Lepisosteus oculatus: one gene and its partners. The protein of the gene in region 3 interacts with the protein of the main gene of each other region in a pairwise test. Links are inferred from orthologs where the notes say so. Each region holds a gene or a part of one and is shown on either strand. Other genes may lie near its edges.

Region 1 (6,989 bases), on a different chromosome or scaffold from region 3:
ATACTTTATTCCTTATCTATTAATCATGTCTGTGGGACTACTAAAGAGTTTATTAGTGAACCCTTTTTCACTAATAATTATAATAAAAGTTTGCTGGTGATGCCATTGTTGCCATTGGTGATGTCATTGTCATGTTATGGCATGCTACAGAAGTGATACCGTAAGAAAAGTCACAAACAAGAAGAAGCCCTTTGCCCCATTTAACTAATTCAGTGGTAAGTAGCTAATTGATCTGATTTTCTCATAGAGCCGCTTCTGGAAGGAAGCCAGAGTTTTAGCTTTATGTTTAAAGAACAGGTGGAAATAGCTTGTTCCACACTCCCACTGCCCTTCGCGTATGGATGTGCCTCCTGTTCTCAATGGAGATTAACTGTCCACTTGTGACCCTTGTGTTTCACTGTTGATATTCAGGTTGCTGGTATTTCTTCTCCTTTTTCTCGTTGTTATTGAAAGTATGATTCCTGAAGTTTATTTATATTACAGTAAATGCTCATTGGAATGCAAGCAAAATTATTTTCTTACTGGTAAAGCTCTAATTGGAGATGAAAATTGGCATAGTTATGTACGAAATATACTTTGTAGGAAATAGTGCAAATTGTACTGAAGTATATATTGCTTTCTTCGTAAAGTAATGCTCAACAAGGTAACATGCATGAAATCTGTGCATGGCATTGTTTCTACATACTCGTGCAACTAAAAACCTGCAGTTGCTAAAACAAACAAAGGGACTGTCTTCTATACCCACTAGTGGCAGATTACTTGATTTCATTTCTTTATGATTGACATGAAAAAACAATGGATAAAAGATATCAACAATGGATACATTCATGGCAGAAACAAAACAGATAACTGAATCTCATAAATCAAACAGAAATCTTGGAATCGGAACTGGAATCTTGAAACCCTTTTAGGCATAGCTGATTCAATTTTTGTTTTTTGATCGATGTCCTTAATTTTATACTTTCTCATTTCATGTTCCTTTTATACTTTCTCAGTACAGTAAATTATAGCTCGATTATTCACAAAGAATAAGCATTATATAAATTATCTTACAATCTCACATTATGAAATAATCATACACAACATAACGTCAAATAAGCATTTCCGAATTATCCTATTTAGAATTATTTGAAGATATAAAACAGTAGATTGAAGTGACAAACAGCTATGAAAGCTTTTCCTCTCCATGCCTTAAAAATGGTTCTCAAAGAAACTCTGGTCAGTCATGGGTAAAATGAAGTCGGAGTGCTCTATCTAAAAATAAAGACAGTGAGAAATTTTTATCCAGAGATCAAAATGTCCTTAATGGATTTTTAGTATATGGCACTGTGAAGTACTCTGAGGATGATGTTTTTGATGTAGCAGAAATTATAATACTTTGTTGCAGTGCACATTTTGTAAAGTGCACTTTATGTTTGCTGATAATATGATATTCAAATTACCTTCAGCAGTGTCATGTGAATACAGAGTTATGGTTGTTACAGAAAACAGCTGAATAACAATTTTAACCTCTGTATTATATGTGCATCTCCTGTGCATAAATATCTCACCCGCTATGCATCCACTTTGAGTTTCTTCCTCTCACCCCATCTTCACCCTTTTAGCAGCTCCCTAGCTCTATCCTCTGGAATAGAGATGGCCGTCCTGTTATGCTTGTCCTCATAGGTAGGCTGCCATCAAAAGAAACTTTTAATACATTTCTCCTCTAAGTCACATTAATTTGGATTTGGCCAATCTATTGAACAAAGCATTTGCAAGACAGATTTATTATATTCCTAATTGCAAAACACTGCCAACACATTTGCTTGAGAGTGTTAACTCCCCTTTGTATCATTTATGAGGAACAGAACTGATATTCTCTTGTTCAAAGATGTTTCTTGATGTTGGTCTTTGCAATAATCCTTCAAAAGATGGAGGCCAAAGCAATATTCCAATCAGCGCTTTTCTTGCCTATTGTGGACACAATCTGTTCTGGCCACCTTGTCGCCATGGATACCAGACCTCGTCACATTTACGGAGTTGTGCTCTCTTGTTCAATGTTTCTTATTGTCTTGTTGAGATAGTCATGACGTTGGTTGTGTGCAGTCGGTTTCTAAACCTTGTCTGCATCTTAAAAGAAAGGACGTAGTGAGGTGCTATGACTCCACGAGGAGCTTCATTATTCCCTTGAGCAAACTGCACTTCACCATGCATGTACTCTCTGGACTATGTAATGGATGAGGAGCATAGAACTAAGAGCAAATGAAAGACTAGGCCTCAAATTTTCAAAGCCTGATAAAGTCCTTGAAGTTGATAACCAATCCTCAAGGACATTGACAAGGACAACCCAGCAGACGACATCAGAACAGACATGGAAACATGACAAGACACAGATGGAAACTAGGTGGAAGGACATTTAAAATAGAGAAATGAAGGCAGAGGAATATGGAACAAGCTGTCCAGCCATGTTGTTTAAGCCGATACCCTGGCTTCCGTCAAGAAATGGCTTGTTGAGTTCTTCAGATCAACTGGCCACTAACTACATCTTGAAACCTTAGAAAAATAAAATAAAAGGGGGCTTTTCTAGCAATTAAAAGAAAAGTGAAACACCATGATGGAGAAATCTCAGGATGACTTCCATCAGAGACAGAGATAAAACAGGACCCCTGGCAGAGACTGTTTGGGCTAACAGGCTGAGGAAACAGTCCTCTTTGCTCATTTTATCATAAGTGTATTTTTTTTGTCAAAATTGTTTTTAACCTGAGATGGACTGGCATCCCATCCATCCCACTGTACCTTGCGGAGCCCATTGCTTGCTGGGATTAGCTATTAGAACTATTAGAAAATGGATAGATGGATGATTTAAAGCCCTTCATCTTAAAATGCCCAAGTGAAACTATGAGAAAAGTGTTATACTTTCATTTCCATTTTCTTTACCGTGATATTTATAAAAAATATTAGGGTAAAGGTGGCTGAGTATGAGCTTGCTGTTTTTAAATAGTGTGTTTTGTTTTCAAGCTTTAAAATTGGGAATTAATTCAATTAATTGGGAAGATTGACTGATCATAACATAGATTAAACAAAGTGATGGCAAAGCATAGAAGAAAACTAACTTCAGACCTAAAACTGGGATAAGCACTCAATTTTCAGCAGAACAAAGATGCATAATATAAGAACACTTGAGTAGCTTAAGATTTAAGAAATCAAAAGTCCTTCAGTAGCTCAGCCAAAGTCCTGACTTGAATCCTCTTCAGAATCTGTGGAAATACTTGAAAGCTGCTGTCAGTAGGCGATCACCAAGCTACCTGAGACAGCCTCAGCAAATAAATCTGCCAAGTAGAATGGGCAAAGACTTTACCAAGCCACTGTGCAAACTTGGTAGATATTTACCAAAAAAAAAACCTTCTGCTGTGGTTGGTGCAAAAGTTACTTCTACGAAATATTTGGTTCGCGGGTCTGAATATGTAAGGCGTAAAGTAACATTTTAGTTTATTGTCTTTGTATTTCACTGACATTTATAGCAACCGATCTTACACTAGGAAGTATTGAGCTTGAGCATTCAGGTTTTAAATAAAATATTAAGTTAAAAAAACACGTTTGACTCATTTTATGATTTTATCAAATTTGACCCCATAGACATGGTATGAATACTTTATGGTATGGTATGAATACTAGGGCGCTGGATATCTGTTATCAGGTAATTTTCCACAAAGTTAAAAAAATTACAACACGAGAGACATCTACTGGTACAAATAGGTAGTATCACAGTGGCAAGTCAAATGATTATTTAGAGATATATCTAAATACATGTAAAGATTATTTTAAACAATGAATGGCATATCTCTCATGAGATATCTCTAAATGATCAATTGGCTAGCCATATATCGCTTCTATCTAGTGTGTCTACCGGTGGAGTGATCCCTCACATATCGCAATCGGCGTAGTTTGTAGTTGAGTGAAGACTACATCTCCCAGTATCTCATGTGCGTGAGAAATGGGTGTCTGACGTTACGTTCCTCTGCGTTCCAATTTCCGGTCGGTAAAGACTGGCTGTGTGTGTTGTGTTTGTATTGTGCAGGAAGCGAGAGGTATGTAGGCATACTTTTTATTTAAAAAAATAAAAGTGTAGACTCAGTTATGCGGAATTGCTTTGCTAAATAGCTGTTCTTCGCAACAAAACCCCGCGATCAGTAACTACTCGCTTGTAGTGTCACTGTGACAAATGTTTGGTAGCTAAAGTTGTCTGACTGAAGACAGTGTTATGAGTTTACCGTCAAAAGAGAGAACAGCAGAAGTGGAAATGAAAGCAATAGTTAAAACAAGTGGGTGGTTTAAGTTCATGTTCACCGCGCTTCTTTAAGGAAAGATTGAATAGAAAGTGTTGCACATGTTAGTTTGCGATAATTACTGGAATGGAAAAAAAATAAAGGTGTTATTTCTGTTAAAATTACTAATGACGCAGAATCGATTAATGTTTATACTGCTCTGTGGCTGTTTACTTTCCTTAAGTAAACTCGAAGAGGCTTCATATCCAAGTAACACTTTGGAACATCGCCTTAGCTGATGATCCAGGGAGGTCGTCCTGTGGTTGTTTGTCTTACTAAACTTGTTTAAATGCTTTTTGTTTTATTGTTGCCATCTTGAAAAACTGAAGCCTCTGTATGGGAGCACAGAATGTGTAACGTGGCAATAATGAAATAAATGAGCAATGTGGTGGAAAACACCTAATATTTGTGCGTTACAACTGGGTCGACAGATTCGAAAAAAGGCTTAGATACTGCTGATTCATTTCTAGTTTTCAGGGATGTTACCGGTGTAGTTCAGCAAAACGCAGTTTTGCCCAAGTTTTATGAAATTAACTGCGTTCGCTGCATTTGCATTTCAGTGCCGAGGATAGACTAATTTCCAAGTGTATGCAGGTGTTTAGTGAAAACACCTTATTCATCTTGAACCTTTGAGCTACTGTGCAGTTTTCACATGCAGAGGAGGGTTCAAAATTCAGAAGCAGTTTTCAAGAAATGTGTGACTCACATACGAGACCCCCGTTCCTCTGGGTCCCTCTATTTCAGAGCTCCTGGCAAGATCTATAGATGTGTTTCGGTCTTAATCTTTCTAGACAGCTACTTGACAAGACGCTTTTAATGTCTGTAAAATGCTTTGAGAAGGTGACCTCTCAAACCCTTTGCCTCACCGCTGTTTTTTTCCAGCGTGATTTGATGAGGCATTCAAATGTTTTTCGAGATTGCAAAAAAGTTTCGGAAATGCTGGGAAACTTGAATGAATATTTAAGTGTTAGTTCCTTTCTCCGCACTGAAAGTAGACTGATCTTTGCGGGGGGGGGGGGGGGGGTTCTTGTATTTAACCTCGTATGCCACCAGGGGTATTCCCATTGCACAGTGCAGTGTGTCCTTTCAGCAAATCACGCCTGGCTCAAAGAAACAAGTTTTAAAGATGGGTTAAGCATTGTGAATGTGAACTGCATCACATGTTATACATTCTGATTGACGAATGTAACTCTAGACTGGGGAGCTGGTGGGCTGGGGTGAAATGACAGCTGGGTTTTAGTGTTACAGTACAAGGAAAGTAGAGGGACAGCTCTCGTTAAAACCGAGTTTGATCGTTCAGAAGGCGATCGGTTTTGGAAATGTAGCTCCAAGGCTGCACAGCAGGGTCATTATCAAAATTCCAGTTTTCCTCATCACTCTGTGTTGTATATTGTGCCTTGGAGCTTGTCAGCCACGGGCATTGATGCTGAGCACACTAACGTGACGTTTTGCTTTTCTGAAGTGTCCCTGTTTGTTTTATGTATTTGCACCTGTGCCACATTAAATCTGCCTGCTACATTTTTCAAATACAAATAAGATGTGAGAGCTCATCTTAGCACCTTTGGGGTTTCACTGCACGTTTAGCCCGAGTATAGCCTGGGGCAATAGGTGTTCACTTGAGTTCTGACTTTACTCGTGCTTTGACTAGATTTCGTTCCCCAGTTGCTATTGTTCAGATTTAGTGGCAAAGTATTTGTAAATCATTTGAAGTACCCAGTACAACCAAATGTACCTAAACCTCCTTTAACAAACTGTCAAAAAAATTAACTGCTCCGGGTTTCCACTTATTTTCTACTTGTGTCTTTTGGTTTTCAATATATGCTAAAGCATCATCATAATAATACACTTTATTTTATATAGCGCCTTTAAAGGTGGCTTCTCAAAGCGTTTTACAGGATGACAATAACAATAAATAAGGAGAATACACAAGATAAAACACAATTACAATATAAAGAGGAGACCGTGGATGGTGGTACTAAGAAAAGCAGAGGGGTGAAGAATGGAACCTGTTCAGTAAAGGCTTTTCTGAAGAAGAGGGTTTTGCGTCTGGATTTGAAGGAGTTTAGAGAAGGTGACTCTCTGATATCCTTGGGGAGAGAGTTCCAGAGCTTGGGGGTATAACAGGAGAAGACCCTGTCGTCCATACAATGTAGATGGGCTTGGGGGACAGTAAGGAGGGCAGACATACAATTCCTCATAATATAATATTCCTTTGTTACATGGTTGTATTTTTGCTATCGGCAGTCTGTTTATTTCAGGCTTTTGTATGTAGGCAGGCAGCCACTTGTTGAAATGAGTTAAAATTGGAAGTGAATAGAAACTTTGAAATGTGTTTACCAGGAGCTTTACATCCGTTTAAGTTTCGAAATTATCGCCATCAGCTGCTTTTCAGGTCTTTCTGTTTTCGCGCACCTTTTTTTCTTCTGTGCTGTATGACACCTCTGGCCTCTGCGTGTTGAGGCAGGAGCATGCCGAGGTGGTGACTCTGGGCCTGTGTGTGAGCCGGGGGGGAGCCTGCGATCATGGCTGATGGAGAAGGCGACGAGGAAGTGATTCACCTGGCCAGTTTCCACAGACATCGCGGAGAAGGTGGGTCTTCTCCCACACACTCCTCAGTGCAGAAACTCCACTTCAGTCTGATGTTTTATTGGGAGCACCCACAGTAGCATCGGAAATTGTAACGTC
Region 2 (7,273 bases), on a different chromosome or scaffold from region 3:
TTCAGCACTGGGCAGGGCATGTCTAAAAGAACCCACGTTCGACACCAAATGTTTGAACAGGCCTCTTCACAAGTGACTTTTCAGATTTCTGAAATACTGACAGTAAACCAGAGTGAACTGAGGCCTACCAAAGTACGCACGTCCAGTTTGAAGCAGTCACTGTCTTATATGAAATGCAGTACTAATAAAGACCACCGGAAGGATAGTAATGTCCCCTGTGGACATGGTATGTCCTTTCCCAGCACGTTATTCTGACCTACAGTATTTCTGTCTTCATGCGATACACCCCTTCCAAAAAAGCAGTTTGCTGAAAATCAGGCCGGATGTCCAGCCTTAGGATTACCGCGCCAGGCCACCTGTCATCTCGAGTGTGAATATGCCAACGCAAATGCTGAGCCTTCATCGGATTTTACTAAGGACCAGCAGCGTCGAGTCCTAGTCCCCCAGAATATTGTTAGCTGCAAAAGTAAGATGTTTAGAAGGCATGAGTTTCTATAGTGTGGCAACGACATTAACCCTGTCAAAAAGCCCTGCTTAAAAACACCCGCCTCACTCATGACCCCCAGGTCCAGCCCGTTGTAACATTGTGCTTCCCTGTTCGCCGAATATCTGCCATAACCAGGAGGGCTGAGCTGTGAATATACAGAAGCTCTCCAGCTTCCCAGGGCTGAGAGGGCAGTGTTTACAAACCTCAGTGCAGGTGAGGCCAAAGTCTGCACAAAGACTAAGGAAGGAGTACCACCCCCAAGGAAGGAAAGAATAAACAAGTGAAAGGACAATTTAGTCTCTGATCAGCCTTGGGATCGAGTCTGGGGTAGGGGTGGGGGGGTGTTTACAATGTGGAGGTTGCATCTCCCCCCCCCGGAGCTCGGCGACGAAGTCGCCCATACGTGTGCACCCTACTATAGACCTGCAAACCCCCCAGAGCTCGGTCTCCACCTTGTGACCTTCGCTTCCAAGAGTCCAGTCTGCCACAGCTCTCACCACCTTTCTGAAGATGGACGGACAGAGGGAAACTAACCCCGCTGCCCGATCTAATTCCAATCGCGGCGGAATGCAATAAATGCTTAACTATAAAGCACCCTGAACAAAGTTTTGACTTGTGATAATCTGATGAGTACTGGACACTGCGTAAGTGTATCAGTGTATTATTCAGTCCCCCCCACCCCCCAAAAGAACGAATACTCTCCATCCGCCACACCCCAATAAAATTGGAGGCAGCACAACTCGATAACACACGGAAGTACTGCAGTACCAAAACGCAACACACTGCTAAGAATGAGCTCTGCACTCCGAGACCTAAATCACCGCCACCGAGGTGGGAACGCACTTCAATCGCTTTCACGCTTTAGAAGCCGCAGGCGCGCAAACCATCACGACGTACCGCACATTTTAAAAATGTCTTTTCCCAGCACAATTATTCACCCAGATGCGCCCGGCTGAAATTATACACTCTCGGAACTCTTCGTACAGTAACTTCGGGGATTCAGCTCCCGGCGCAATTGGGATCTCACAACGAACAAACACAAACCTTAGATGTTAAATCTGAGGGCGCGGGACGCAATCAGAAATCCCCACAGTACACAGTCCTTTGAGACCGATCACTCCTGGACAGTGTGCATGAAAATTCTTTTCAGAAACGGCCTGGGCTGATGCCTACATAACCTAAACCACTAACTGTGAGAAGTTTTAAGATGACTTCAACGACAGCAGGTCTGCAATTGAAACCCGTACAAAAACTACCTTGATTTTCTGGTACCGAGAACAATAGCATTTTGAAAAGCACGCCAACCCAGTAAGGAAAGTCACGATTTCAAGTTAAAGGCTGTAATGAGACGCTTCAAACGAGCTCTTAGCAGACAGAAAACGCCCCCCCCCCCCAACTCCGTTCCAAGTATTTAAGAAAGACCCCCAATTTAATTTACAGCTCACAGAACAAATCTATGCAACAAGATTCTCAGTGCGATCGCTGCAAACGCTTAATGAAAGTTAAGACGAAAATGTGTCTCAGCAAAAATAAGATTTGGGTCTACTTTATACGTTGCACAAAAATACTTAATAAATGTTGAACATGCAAATTGAGTATCATGCATTCCGAAACGTGCGAACAACCGAAGAAACGCCAAAATAATTTTGAGCACATCTTAATGTGTCCATGAAAGTATTACACGCTGAAAACATCACCCTCAGAACTAAACAAAAGGAAGCACGAAAATGTCAGCGGCGCCAAAAATTATCGCAATTAATAAAAACGGTGCACGTGGTGTTTACGTCGCAAGAGTGCTATATTTTAAATTTCGTCAACATCACGTTACGTCTGAGGGGTCATATTACACTGGGATCGCTTACAGCTTCAAAGCATGCAAACAAAAACAAAAGGTCAGCTACACGCACCGTTTTAATTCTAGCCCTGTGAATACTTAATGCTTTAAATGAACGGTGATCAGACTCCGGCGAGGCGGGAAGGGGGGGGTATTTCTAAGCCCGGACATTTGCTCCCCGAGGACGTGCACGTCCCCGCGCGGCTCACGAGCAAGGCCTCAGCCCGCGACACAAACAATGGAAGCGCTCCCACGCGCCGCGCCGCCCGCCGCCGCCGCCGCTCGTTCTCTCTGCTCCTCCGGGAAACTCCGGCGGGGCGCAGCGCCGAAAGACTGGGCTCACCTCCCCCGGCTCGTTAAGGGCACCGAAAATCCAGGGTGCTGGGCCCTTCGCTTATATAACCCTTTAATCTAAAAAAAAAACACTCCCTCGAGGTCTTTCTCTGAACAAAAATAGAAATCCTTTCTATAAAGGTGCATTAAACAAACCCAAACACGGCTGTCCTTTTTACGGTCTTCCAAACGAAATTGCAATTCTGCATTACGCACCGAGAGGATAACAATAATGCATGCTCACCTGATTAAACTCCTCGCCAACATCCGCGTAGATGTCGATGTGATCCACACCGTCGGCCATTTTCCACTCTTACCTCCTCCTCCGACTGGCTTGAACCAGAATAAAACTGCTAACAGGAAAACACTGCGCGTCACATCCGACGGTCGGCCAAACACAGAAGAGAGGAGGAGGGTGTAAAGACTTCGGCTCTTTTTTTTTTGACTAAGCGTAACAAGTTGCTGCTTTTTAACTTGGTTACGATAACAGAACTTCACAAACTATTCTCAATTATGCAATTTAGGAGATGTCGATACCGGCTCGCTAAATATTCTCTTTAGGCAAATCAAGGTCATAGTGTGAAATTCTGGAAAATTATCTAAAATGCACAGTTATAATTATTAATTTAGGTGGCGCCGTTAATCCAACATGTACATGCAAAAATGTACACGTGAACGATAAAATATGAATAACATGATAATAAAATGATGTGATAAGAGCACACGACCCACATAATCAAATATACAAAATAAGAACCATTTTTAAATCAGTTTTACTAAAGCAATAATACCACAATGCACAGGGACAGATATTATTGTATACTGTATGTAATGGGCTCACGAATTCTCCAGTAGACCTAACAGTAACATTCCACACAGTCGTATAAGCACTATCGTGTGGTACAGTTCCTTTCTGGGGTACAATAGATGACGATTCTTAAAAAAAGGTTCGGTTATTTTAATGTTTCATAATACATGAGCGCATGGATTAAAATATTGATCGAATTGTTATGGAATATTGGTGTCAAGACTTTACAGGCAAATTTATAATAATCTATAATTTGCACAGCGGTGTGTAGTGAAGACTATCGTACAATCTTGTGTCCAGCGATTGTAGGATCGATTCTAAAAATACATCAAAGAAGTAACGAGTTTAAGTAATTTTTCCACAAGGTGGTGCACGGTGATCATGGACATCTACGGCCAACATTTTCACATTTGTTCGTATGTTCATAAACGGACCCCTTTCAGGGCTGTTTTTTATAAGATCACTTTATTAGCCATATACAATTTCTTGCATTACGAATTCATCTTTTCGCATACCCCAGCTTGCTTTCCATGAGACACACAGACATGGAGAGAAGCTTGGGGTCAGGGCTTACTATTTCAAACATGACAGAGCGAAACTCTTTGTATTTTGAAGACGGCTTTTGTACATTTCACCTAAAGAATTTATCGTGACCTAATTGCCCATGGTATAGTTTCAGAGAGTCTAGTTACAGAAGACCCTAAACCCTAAAAATTATGATCAAGAAATCCAGGAGTCGAGTTAATTTGCACCTGGGAAAATATCGGTAAATGTAGCACAAAACAAAAGAGGTGTAGTCCTGCTAGGAATCTCAGAGCAGTTCCCTGAAATAAGTGCCCCATTATTTGCAAAATGCAGATTTTGACAAGTGTGGGATTATCTGAATAATTTCTGCAATGGTGCTTTGTCTGTCATATACCGTCTATGTTGCTGCAAAGCCAAAGATTTGTGCAGAAGGGGGTATCTGTATCTATATTAGATTGTAACAGAATCCACAGTCACAAGAATGGGTTACAACAATACAAATGCACTGTAATACACTGTAATAAAGTGTTATACATAATATGTATAAGAATAATGTCAATAGTTATTGACAATAACATTTCTTTCACGTTAATTAAATACTGTACTTCTTCATCCTGCCAAGGTTTCTTGTTAAATCAATCTAAAACTAATCTAAAATAGAGGGTGTGAAAACGTCTTTCTTTTAATTCTATAGATGATTCTATAGATGCTCATGTACACCCTATATTTTAACTTGGGCTAGTAAATTCAATTTAAAACTGTATTTTCTGGGATGACTGGTTATTAAGTATCTTTATAAAATATATTATAATCAAAAAAGCATACTTTAAGAAATTTAATTTGATACACATTAACGATTAGCACTGGACACTGTTAGATAAGGTTAGTGCCAATACTATGTATTCTATTGAATACGACTGTAACTGTATTCTATATAGACCTACAATGTATCACTTGAAATATCTGTTAATTTGACTATCCATTGTGAAAATCTCTTTGACGTCATACGGTACATCTGGGATTGGGATCATTAAGGTTTGATGCATTTTGCACTAACATCATGTAGAGCATTGGCTCAACAGTATAAAGAATAAAGCAAATTAACTAGATATAGAAGAAAGTGTTGAATTGGACGGCATGTGGTTTTTTTTTTACAATAGAGAAGCAGACGAGGTAGTCCAGATATCTAGATTGAATTCAATTCTGTCTCACACCAAGCAAAAATCTAATTCTGGTTAGGATGAGATTCAGATGGGTGATGTATCAAACCCACTAGCAGTTTTGAATTAAGAAATTTTAAGAAAACTGCCAGGAACATGAGTCATCCTATTACGGGAAACATTTAAACCACAGTGAGGGAGTGAAACTGGAATTATATCAAGAAATACATGACATGTAACGGGAACAAATTCACAATTACCAAGCAAATGACAAACCCCAGACATTAAATAATTTTAAAAATATATATATATATAAGTGTATACACAGCATCCAAAGAGTCGCAACAAATTCAGAAAGTGTCAGTTAACTGATAATGTTTCTTGTAGCAGCTGTACTAACATTTTATTGAAGAGACAAGACAGGCAAATTCATTCTGCTGGTTAATACTGGGCATCAGCAGGACTGAACACCAGGAGGGTCCTATTGTGCATGTTGTAGTCTAGTAGAGTATGTAACCACTTCTGATGTGTGGCACATACACTGCAACAGGCTGCAGATGTTGTCTTGTGGAATCCTGTCCCATTCCTGTCCTAGAGCCTGAACAAGCGTGTACTTTGGTCTCTCTGCCCTAGACGCCCAATGTCATCTCTGTCATCATCCTGCAAACTGCCAGTGGGGCTCAAGTTGGCAGAAGGGCTCTGGAGCACAACGGTCACATTATGGTCAGGAAAGCCATTATCACGAGGAGCGTGGGAATATGTTCTGCTGGAAGTGCTGTCACTTTGGGATGAGCTAGCAGGAAAGGCAGCACGTGAGGACCCAGGACTTGATCAATATAGCGCCTTGCAGTCAGGTTGCCATCAACTACTGTGCCACACTCACAGGCATCCATCAGACATTGTGCTCCACGTAGATTCATGTCTGAAGAGGTCTTGACTCCACAGCTGCTGAGTTCATCTGAGGCACACAATCAGCTCATCACCTGTGTCCAATAAACTCTTTCACTGAAGAGGGGATTTAGTGATTATGTAACAAAGTCACTCAAAATAAGATCACTTTATTGGCCATATAAATTTATTGTATTAGGAATTTGTCTTTTCGCACACCCCAACTTGCTCTCCATGAGACACACAGTACAATACAATACAGTACAAACTCAGTGAAAAACAGGTACACTAACACATCTCCAGAATGGAAACGAACCCAGGACTGCGCTTTCTTAAGGGTTTAATGGCTTAATGGTTTAAAAAATAATTGTATTAATATCCCCGTTAAAGATAGCACCTGTCTTTTTCAGTTCCCTTTTTTTCCTTTGTAAACAGACATGGTTCGCAAAAAGAAGCTTTTTTTCAAACAAGTTAAAGCACTTGACCAAATGCAATAACGTCCCACGGACAATAAATGTTTCTCCCTTGAAATAAGGTGACGTAGTGTCTGCCACTATCACTGCAGCCACCGTCATAAAGAAGTTTTTTTACAGGCTGTCGCAGACTGAAACATTAAATTAACTGGTGATGAATAATTCTAGCAAAGCAGTCTATGTGATTTTGGAAGACCGTCGCCTCTGGTACCGTGGCTGCAGATCTTTGCACATATACTCCACACAGACGTAACGTCAAACGTCCAGGACGTTTCTCATTTAATTGTTTAAAAGCAGAACAAAACTCAATTTTTCTTCTCCAAAATGAACTTTTCTAAATCGTGTCCACTGCGCCCTCTAGTGGTGTTCCGCCTGTCACCACGCAGCATTACAACGGTCATTTTTAGAACGGGTATGAAAACAGCAAGACTTCAATTTACGGAAAAGACAAACATCAAGGAAATAGTAGAAACAAGCCCTTTCGTCGCGTGATTCCATTTGTATCACACCCTAAAAACAGTGTTCAGAAAATAACCTCATGTTAAGAGGACAGAACTGTAGAATTGAGTGCAAAGTTGGAACACTGTTTGAGTCTAGCCCATCCGAGGATCTCCTTCCAGCTGTTTCTTGTCTTCTGTTTTCAGTACACTTTCACCTAGTTTCTAAGCACCATGTAGAATAATGTGTGCATGTGTTCTGGTACAATTAATGAATTTTACTAATGCACTCTTCTTTTTTGTTGTTGTTGTTCCTTATTGCTATTTA
Region 3 (7,377 bases):
AATGTTGTTCTTGTCATTCAGGTAACTGCCACTACTTTTCATGATATAAGCCCCTGGTAGAATTTGGTTTTGTGGGAAAATACTGTTTATGTCCAGACTGTGGTGAAATTGGATTCCAATATTTTGAACAAAAGGAAAATAGAAAAAAATGTCATTCCTGAGGTGCACAGCAGTTACAGAACAGGGATGCTGTTTGTCTTGTGTGTAAACATCCTTGCCAGGGCACAGTATTTATAATTTACTGCACTAGGATCTTTCGGGAATTGTAAAGAAAAGGGCGTTGTCACATGCCTAGTGAACAAGTGCACCAGACTAATCTGTCTATGCAGGAATGGAAAATAAAGAAAGATGGGACAAACGTATTGTCTGAGTAAGTGCAAAGATTGCACAGTGTTTTTTGACACTTTTGTCTTTGTTCTTTCAGAAAACAGTTGTGTTGACAAACCATTTGAGGTGCTTTTAGGAAAAGAAGAGGGAAGATTCTTTCTTTTCCTTTTTTGCTCATCTTTAAAATGGTTTTCAATGACTGTAATACTTGTTTGAAGCAAGCCTGTGGCCAGGTGTGTTTAATGTGTAAATAAGGTGTTTTTACGAAAGCAGGATTTTGTTTCAGAAATCTAAGTCTTAAATGTCATGTCAATTAGAGATGTCACAATGTTTAGAGGGATTTTTTGTTTCATCATGCATACATTACATGTATGTTACTCAGTATTACTGAGGAAGAATTAAATATAAATATGTTGAAATATATATAAAAGAAATGGGATCTGTTTCTAGTCCCTACATATTAAAAAGAAAAAGAAACAGTAAGTCTTTATAAATCATTATTTATTGATTTCTGCTGTAATACAAGATAAGCCACTCTGTATCCTTGGGATTTAGGGTACGATGTATGAACTCAGCATTTTTAAAAGAAAAAACTTGTTTTGTAGCGTTCTAATCTGTTGTGATATTGTGACATCTCTAATGCTTTTTTGATGAGCATCTGATGGTGTCCGTTCTTACTGTCATGTTTTATAAACTAGACTGTAGTTTACAAAGGAAATGTAATACAATGTCTGTAATAAATTACCGACCTGCAAAGTTGTAGTTTGCAAAAAAAGTATTTTCTGTTAACTGATTTGTAAATGATTGTTTCTTGCTACAATAAATGATGCCATTGTCTAGGTTTTACTAAAACTCATCTTAAGTCTTTTCTTCTGTGGAGTAAGCATTCATTGAAAATGCATGCAGTTTTCCTAACTGGCATTACATGGTTTTAACATAAAGGTGTTTTTGGTAATTTTACATCCATCACAAGGCCTCTTTATCCAAATTTTGACAAGTTCAGTACTACATTGTAGAGTTTCAGAATTATTTTCCTGTCTTTGTGAGGCTTCTCATTTATTTTCTATATTGAAGAAAACATTCAATTATTCTATTTCTTAACTTTACATCATGTCAGCCACATGCAATACAGCCTTTTAATTTGCACAAACTCTGACAGAATTTAAAAGGTTTTCTGTTACCTGTGTATTTTTCTCTTCAGATATCACTGCTATAAAACATTTCCTCAATTCTCACAGTGTTAGTATAGGATCTTAAGAGTGGTTTAATGGTCAGGATTGATGTTAGCAGCAGGTTTTGGGTTGGGTCAAAAATTACCCACTTACTAAGCAGCAATATGCTGTTTGGATTCTCTTTTGTTATGTGTAAAGTGTTATTAAAAAGGGTCTATCTGGCCTTCAGTGATGAACCACAGTGCTAAAATACAGACAGAATTACCTACTATTAATTGGCATAAGTACCATATACACATATTGTACTGTATCTAATTAAGGCCTTACTGCAAGCTATTAGGGACATCCCGAGAAAGATAAAATGTTTTATTTGAAAGAAAATAAAAAAATAGTTTGACTGAAGCATCCAAAACGTTCCAACTCGAGTAAGGTTAACGAATGGACTGAAAACAGTATAAAGCAAGACGTTATTGCCAATATTTTATTGTGTTCGGGTTGTGTATAATAAAATCGTACAAATTAGATTGGGAAAAGTAGACCTCTCAGCTCATCTTTTTGGGTGTAAGATTTTGGTTTCATGACAACCGCACTTCACTGTAACCTGACAAACTCTTCAAACAGGCTCAGCGCAGCTCCTACGCGGTAAAATGTCTCCTGGACACGCACACTTGGCACACTTTAAAACCTGTTGTTCTATCAATTTGCTAGTTAGCAATACATAACACAAACGAATAAGTTGGGTATCATTGTTTCTGCCGTTTGTAGGGGGGGTGGTTCACGTTGATACTAAGGGATGGGGTGTCCTACATCGGGAGTGTTTTGTAATGTTCTGCGAGGTTCAAACGATGAAAAAACACCGGCGTCTCCAAAGAAAGCCAGTTGGTGATGAACGCTCTACAGAGTACAGCCAGTTCTCGTTCAACTTTGCCGTCGACAGCAGAGTAGTTTATCGCCATACGTACAGTACGCGTACATTGGAATTCTTAATCGCACTGATCTCTCGGGACGCATACAGTACAACGGACAGCACCACACAATGTAGACAACAGGAACAATAAATATGTAGTAGACCAAACAAAATGGTAGACTATGTAAAAAGTGTGTAGCGCAGATGTGTATTAAGGCACTGCAGTTAGCTGTTGAGAATGCATACTTGAGTCAAGTGGTCCATGATTTAACAGTGTGGTATCGCTTGCCAGAAAGGTAGGGGGGAGAACAGGTTGTGGCCTGGATGGTTGGGATCCTGTGAATGATGGTGTGGATCTCGTCGATTGATGGTAAATCACATCCTATAATCCTCTGTCCCATTACCACAACCTTTTGTAGTGCATCTCTGTCATGCATGGTAGTATTGTTGTACCACACAGTGATGCCGCGGTTAAGCACCGCAGAAAGTGCAAGCGCTGTGCCTTTTTCAGATTGGCTATTGTGAGTCTCTTAGTCATCTGGGATGACGTGAGGAGTGGCTTTCACAAAGATCCCAGCGCAGGTGCAGGGACGATTATATACCACACTCGCTCGCAGCACTATTTTAACGTGTGACCTATGACCTGTAAATCCCGTCATTGGTTATCTGATGACATATTTGAGCCATTAGAAGATGACTGGAAATATTTTAAGTGTTTTCCGATAATGATTTCTCCGACTGCATGGCGTCGGTTTACCATAAGGTGACGCACAAGCAAATATTGAATATAGCGCGTATGACTGATGGTAAAGGGATACAAAATTATCGGATTATTATGAAAGTTATAAAGGCGGTAACTAATTTGTTTTTTTTTACTGGTGACTGGTGACTGGTGTTATAACTCATAATGATTGAATTTCCCACAAGAAACCAATTATCTGTGAGAAGTTTTATTTCCAGCGAACTTCTGTACCTTCTTTCTTGACCACATAACTTGACAACCTTTGCAGGTGATATTTGTTTAATTAGAGTCCGCACCTCCAATGATAATTTGTTCAAAACTGTATTGAAACTGGAGTCTTGTTATAACCTGCTCCACAGATGAGAACTGCTTTTCTTGTCTCCAAAAGCCCAACGCCGAAAATGCAACGTAAAATGTAGCCGTGTGTGTATATGATGAGTGTAAGTGTCTCCGTTTTAATTTTTGTCTTGAAACCCTAGTTTTGGGTTCTTATTAAATGTGGGAACTCTCAGTCTTTGTGTTGCCTATTTGTTGTTGTAGGTCGCCCTCCGATGGAAAAAATAATAAGCGCATCCTCTCCCTATCATTGTTCTTGGGATGGAAACAATACTACAGGAAGTACTATCGGTCGGGCTGGCATTAAAAGAACAGTGAAAAGTCGGTCATTATTTGATACTTCAAAATTTGATCAGAAAAACCTGAATGGATTTGTCTTTAAATCTTTTTACTTTTGAAGGGGACGGGATATAAAGTTTTCTAATAGATTGAAAGGCAGCAATAAACGGAATACCACAAAAGCGTGACTATTTTTTATAGTTTATTTTTTCTAGAATCGTAATGGTTTTCAAGAATCGTTTTGCTCAGGGTGTTTGATCCTAAATCTGTTTTGGAAGGCTATTTCATAAAGCTAAATTATTCAATTATCAATGCCATTTTAATGCTGTATGTTTAGATATCGTACGCCGTTTATTAACTATAGCTAAAAAAATATGATTTCACATACAGCATGAGTAATAATAAAAATACCTAATTCAAGTTTTCAATATTTCAATTAAATGTTGCAGGATATATTTCAGCTTTTCATTTGTCCTATCAAAATTAATAATATTTTCATTTAATGTATTATAACAGACTTTTTTCCACTGTGTCGCCCACTTGTAAAACTTCAACTCCCAGAATACCTCCGAAGGTCTTCCAGGTCAGAGTTTAAAGTTCAATCCCTGGACTTGAGCAGCAGCGGTATTACGGAGCTTCACAGTCCACAGGCCTGCCTGATAGGTAAATAGCTGTCAAGTCCATCAAAAAAGAACAAACAAACCGCTGTACTGTACTGTTGATGTACAATAATCGAACCGGACAGCCAGTAAAATGGTGACAGAATAAGAGCTGAGCTGTTGACTTTTCTATTAATCTTGGATTTCGAGAGAAGAGGGCTATGTTTGTGCAGGAGGAGAAGATTTTTGCAGGGAAGGTGCTGAAAATCCATATTTGCACCATGGAGGGGGCAGAGTGGTTGGAAGAGGTAACCGAGGACACCACCATTGAAAAACTCAAGGAAAAGTGCTTGAAACACGTATGTCTTCCTGTTGTTTCTTATGTTATTTGAATGTAATTAAACGCAGATCGTCAGGACAGCAGTAGCCAGGACGTTATCAGGACAGTGACTGAATTTCCCGGTAGGCCTGTTAGAACTGTCATACTCCGGTATTTATAGAAGAGCGCTTGTCTAGGCTATTTATAATTTAATTTACGCGTCGACCTAACAGGGTAATTTTTTTCCCCCCAAAATTGTCATAGCTCCTCTTCCTTCTCGTAATGTTTGCAAGCTGATCTGTTTTCTTTAAATGTAACGCTTCTTGCCCATATCATTTTCAACTTGATAGGTTTTAGGTGTCTTGTTGCTTGTTTTATTTATATTTGCACATTGCCGTTGTCCTAGCCACTAGTATCATCAGCCGGTTAACATTACCGCCTCTTAACTGCCTCAACGACGAATAAAAACAGAGCGAAACGATTTTTTGCATGTTGTATTTTCAGTATACTCTATATGAAATCTTAATAGAATAGTATTTTCCCAGTTGGTGTAATAATTCTTGATTTGATTTGTTGTCGTTTTCCTCCATTTCATTCTTAGCTAGAAAGAATGTATTTTTGTTTTACTAATATTGGACTTTTTGTGTGTATTCTGTGTAGATGTAACTTCATTTTAATCGTTTTGCTAATTTCAACAAAAGATGAACCAGAAGACACAAGTATAGTTAAGGTTTGGAGGTGCTTTTAAAACCAATAACAGGAGAGTTGTGGGAGTATGGAACATGCTTCCCAGCCATGTTGTTGAAGTCAATATCCTGGTTTCTTTCAAGAAACAGCTTGTCGAGATCCTTGAAGTAATTAATAAACTGCCAGCTATGGAGCTGATTGGCCAAATAGCCTCATCTTATCTGTGACCTTACGATCTTAACATTTAGATTTTGCAATGGTTCTGTTGTGGGGAGGTGGTATGCATTGTTGCCTCACTGCACTTGGGCCCTGGATTCACTTCTGGATCTGGGGTGCTGTGTGTATGGAGTTTGTATGTTCTACCTGTGTGCCTTTCGTTCCGCAGTCCAAAATCGTACTGCTCGGTTAATAGGGTTCTGGGAAAACTGTCCCTGGTGCGAGTGTGTGTCTTGTGTGTGTGCGCCCTGTGATGGACTGGCGTCCTGTTGAGGATGTGCCCTGCCTTGCTCTTGTTGCTGACCTGCATAGGCTCAGGTTCCCCTGCAACCCTGAATTGGATGAAGCAGTTAGAAAGTAGATGGATGTGTGGATTTCTGTTGTGACTAATTTCTGTATATGAAAGTTGTTTTAAACTTGTCAGAAGCAAGAGAGTTACACATTTCTTTTTTTCTTCTTTGCTCTAGTATGTCCATGGGAGCCTAGAAGACCCTAAGACTGTGACTCATCACAAACTGATCCATGCTGCTTCAGAAAGAGTCCTAGCAGACACTAAAACTGTAGTAGAGGAGAATATTAAAGATAAAGGTAAGTAGTGTTGAGAGGAAGAGGAGTTACAGGTTAAAGTTTGTGGGAGTCTTATCCAGTTTATCCAGCCATGCTGTTGAAGCATATATCTTGGCTTCTTTCAAGAAATCACCAGAATGGGGTCCTTGGATCATTTAAATATTTACTACCAATTGCCTAGATGGGCTGAAAACCATTTGTATCTCATAAAGATATTTCATTATTCATCCTTTTTTTATTGTGATTAATTTCAATGATTATTTTGGCCTCATGTACAATATGTAATAATGAAATGTCTTGAGGCTGACACATTCAGAACTAAAAATGAGGAAGGTTTTAATGTTATATTTAGTATCTTACTAAGGTTGACAAACTCTCATTTAAGGTTTTGGAATTGAATACCACATCAATTAGCTACTGCTTCCGAATGACCTCCTGTTATTTGTAAGCAGTCTTATGGTCTTTCTTATGTTAGATAGTGGTACCATAATTCTGACTGGTAATATAATGCATAGTTTTGTATTGTACGTTGGTGTACTCATTAAGTTGTTTTTCACTTGCAGAAAAATGGGCTGGATGACTTTTTAAAGCAGTTATGTAGAAAGGGCTTGACAAACACCCAAGTGTAAAATAGTTTTCTTTTATTTTCCTTTTGTTGGATCACTGTTCTTGGAATGTTCTGAAAACATCTGTTGGGGGAAAAAAAAAAAGAACTAATTTTGAAAAATTGTTATAGAGTGATTGCACCAAAAGAGACTGCAATGGTACAAAATTACATCTGAGGAGAATTTTCATCTGGTACCTTCTGTTATGGACCATTCTGTTTCCTCTCCTAGATGTCTTACTGTTAATAAAAAAGAGACCACCTCCTCCCCCACCGAAGATGACTGAAGTGTCTACAGAAGAAAAGGTAAAATATTTTAAATACCTAGTGAGAGGCCAACAAAATATTTTAATTTATAATAGCACAAATATTCCAGAATGAGCTGGGTAGAGGATGCATAGGAGGCTACCAAACACGCTCTTCTTTCAGTGCTGGAATATATGCTAATCCGAACATGCCTATTCACTTTTTTGTTACAACTGGAGAGAGTTCACAGGGGTGTCAAATGCTAACAACCTCACACCAATACCTTGTAAAAGTTCACTCTGGCACCTTAAGTCAAAGAGGGAATTCAAACAAGAAACCAGTTTCATGTTCAAGTTGTATGTTTAATTTTTTATTA

Evidence for each region.
Region 1: the proteins of ubac1 (region 3) and rnf216 interact in binary tests that used the Homo sapiens proteins (3 or more experiments, as listed by UniProt). The link is inferred for Lepisosteus oculatus from reciprocal best matches to the Homo sapiens genes UBAC1 and RNF216.
Region 2: the proteins of ubac1 (region 3) and cpsf6 interact in a two-hybrid assay, tested with the Homo sapiens proteins (2 studies listed by BioGRID and IntAct). The link is inferred for Lepisosteus oculatus from reciprocal best matches to the Homo sapiens genes UBAC1 and CPSF6.

What each region holds. Positions count from the first base shown.
Region 1 is NC_090714.1:10,450,646-10,457,634, forward strand, and holds the start of rnf216 (E3 ubiquitin-protein ligase RNF216), read left to right. Parts: upstream 1-3,981; 5' UTR 3,982-4,067; intron 4,068-4,095; exon of another isoform or gene 4,096-4,301; intron 4,302-6,764; 5' UTR 6,765-6,826; coding exon 6,827-6,893; intron 6,894-6,989.
Region 2 is NC_090702.1:23,479,115-23,486,387, forward strand, and holds the start of cpsf6 (cleavage and polyadenylation specificity factor subunit 6), read right to left. Parts: upstream 3,009-7,273; 5' UTR 2,959-3,008; coding exon 2,899-2,958; intron 1-2,898. UniProt on the Homo sapiens protein: Component of the cleavage factor Im (CFIm) complex that functions as an activator of the pre-mRNA 3'-end cleavage and polyadenylation processing required for the maturation of pre-mRNA into functional mRNAs.
Region 3 is NC_090719.1:5,135,340-5,142,716, reverse strand, and holds the start of ubac1 (ubiquitin-associated domain-containing protein 1), read left to right. Parts: upstream 1-4,355; 5' UTR 4,356-4,583; coding exon 4,584-4,721; intron 4,722-6,051; coding exon 6,052-6,172; intron 6,173-6,987; coding exon 6,988-7,061; intron 7,062-7,377.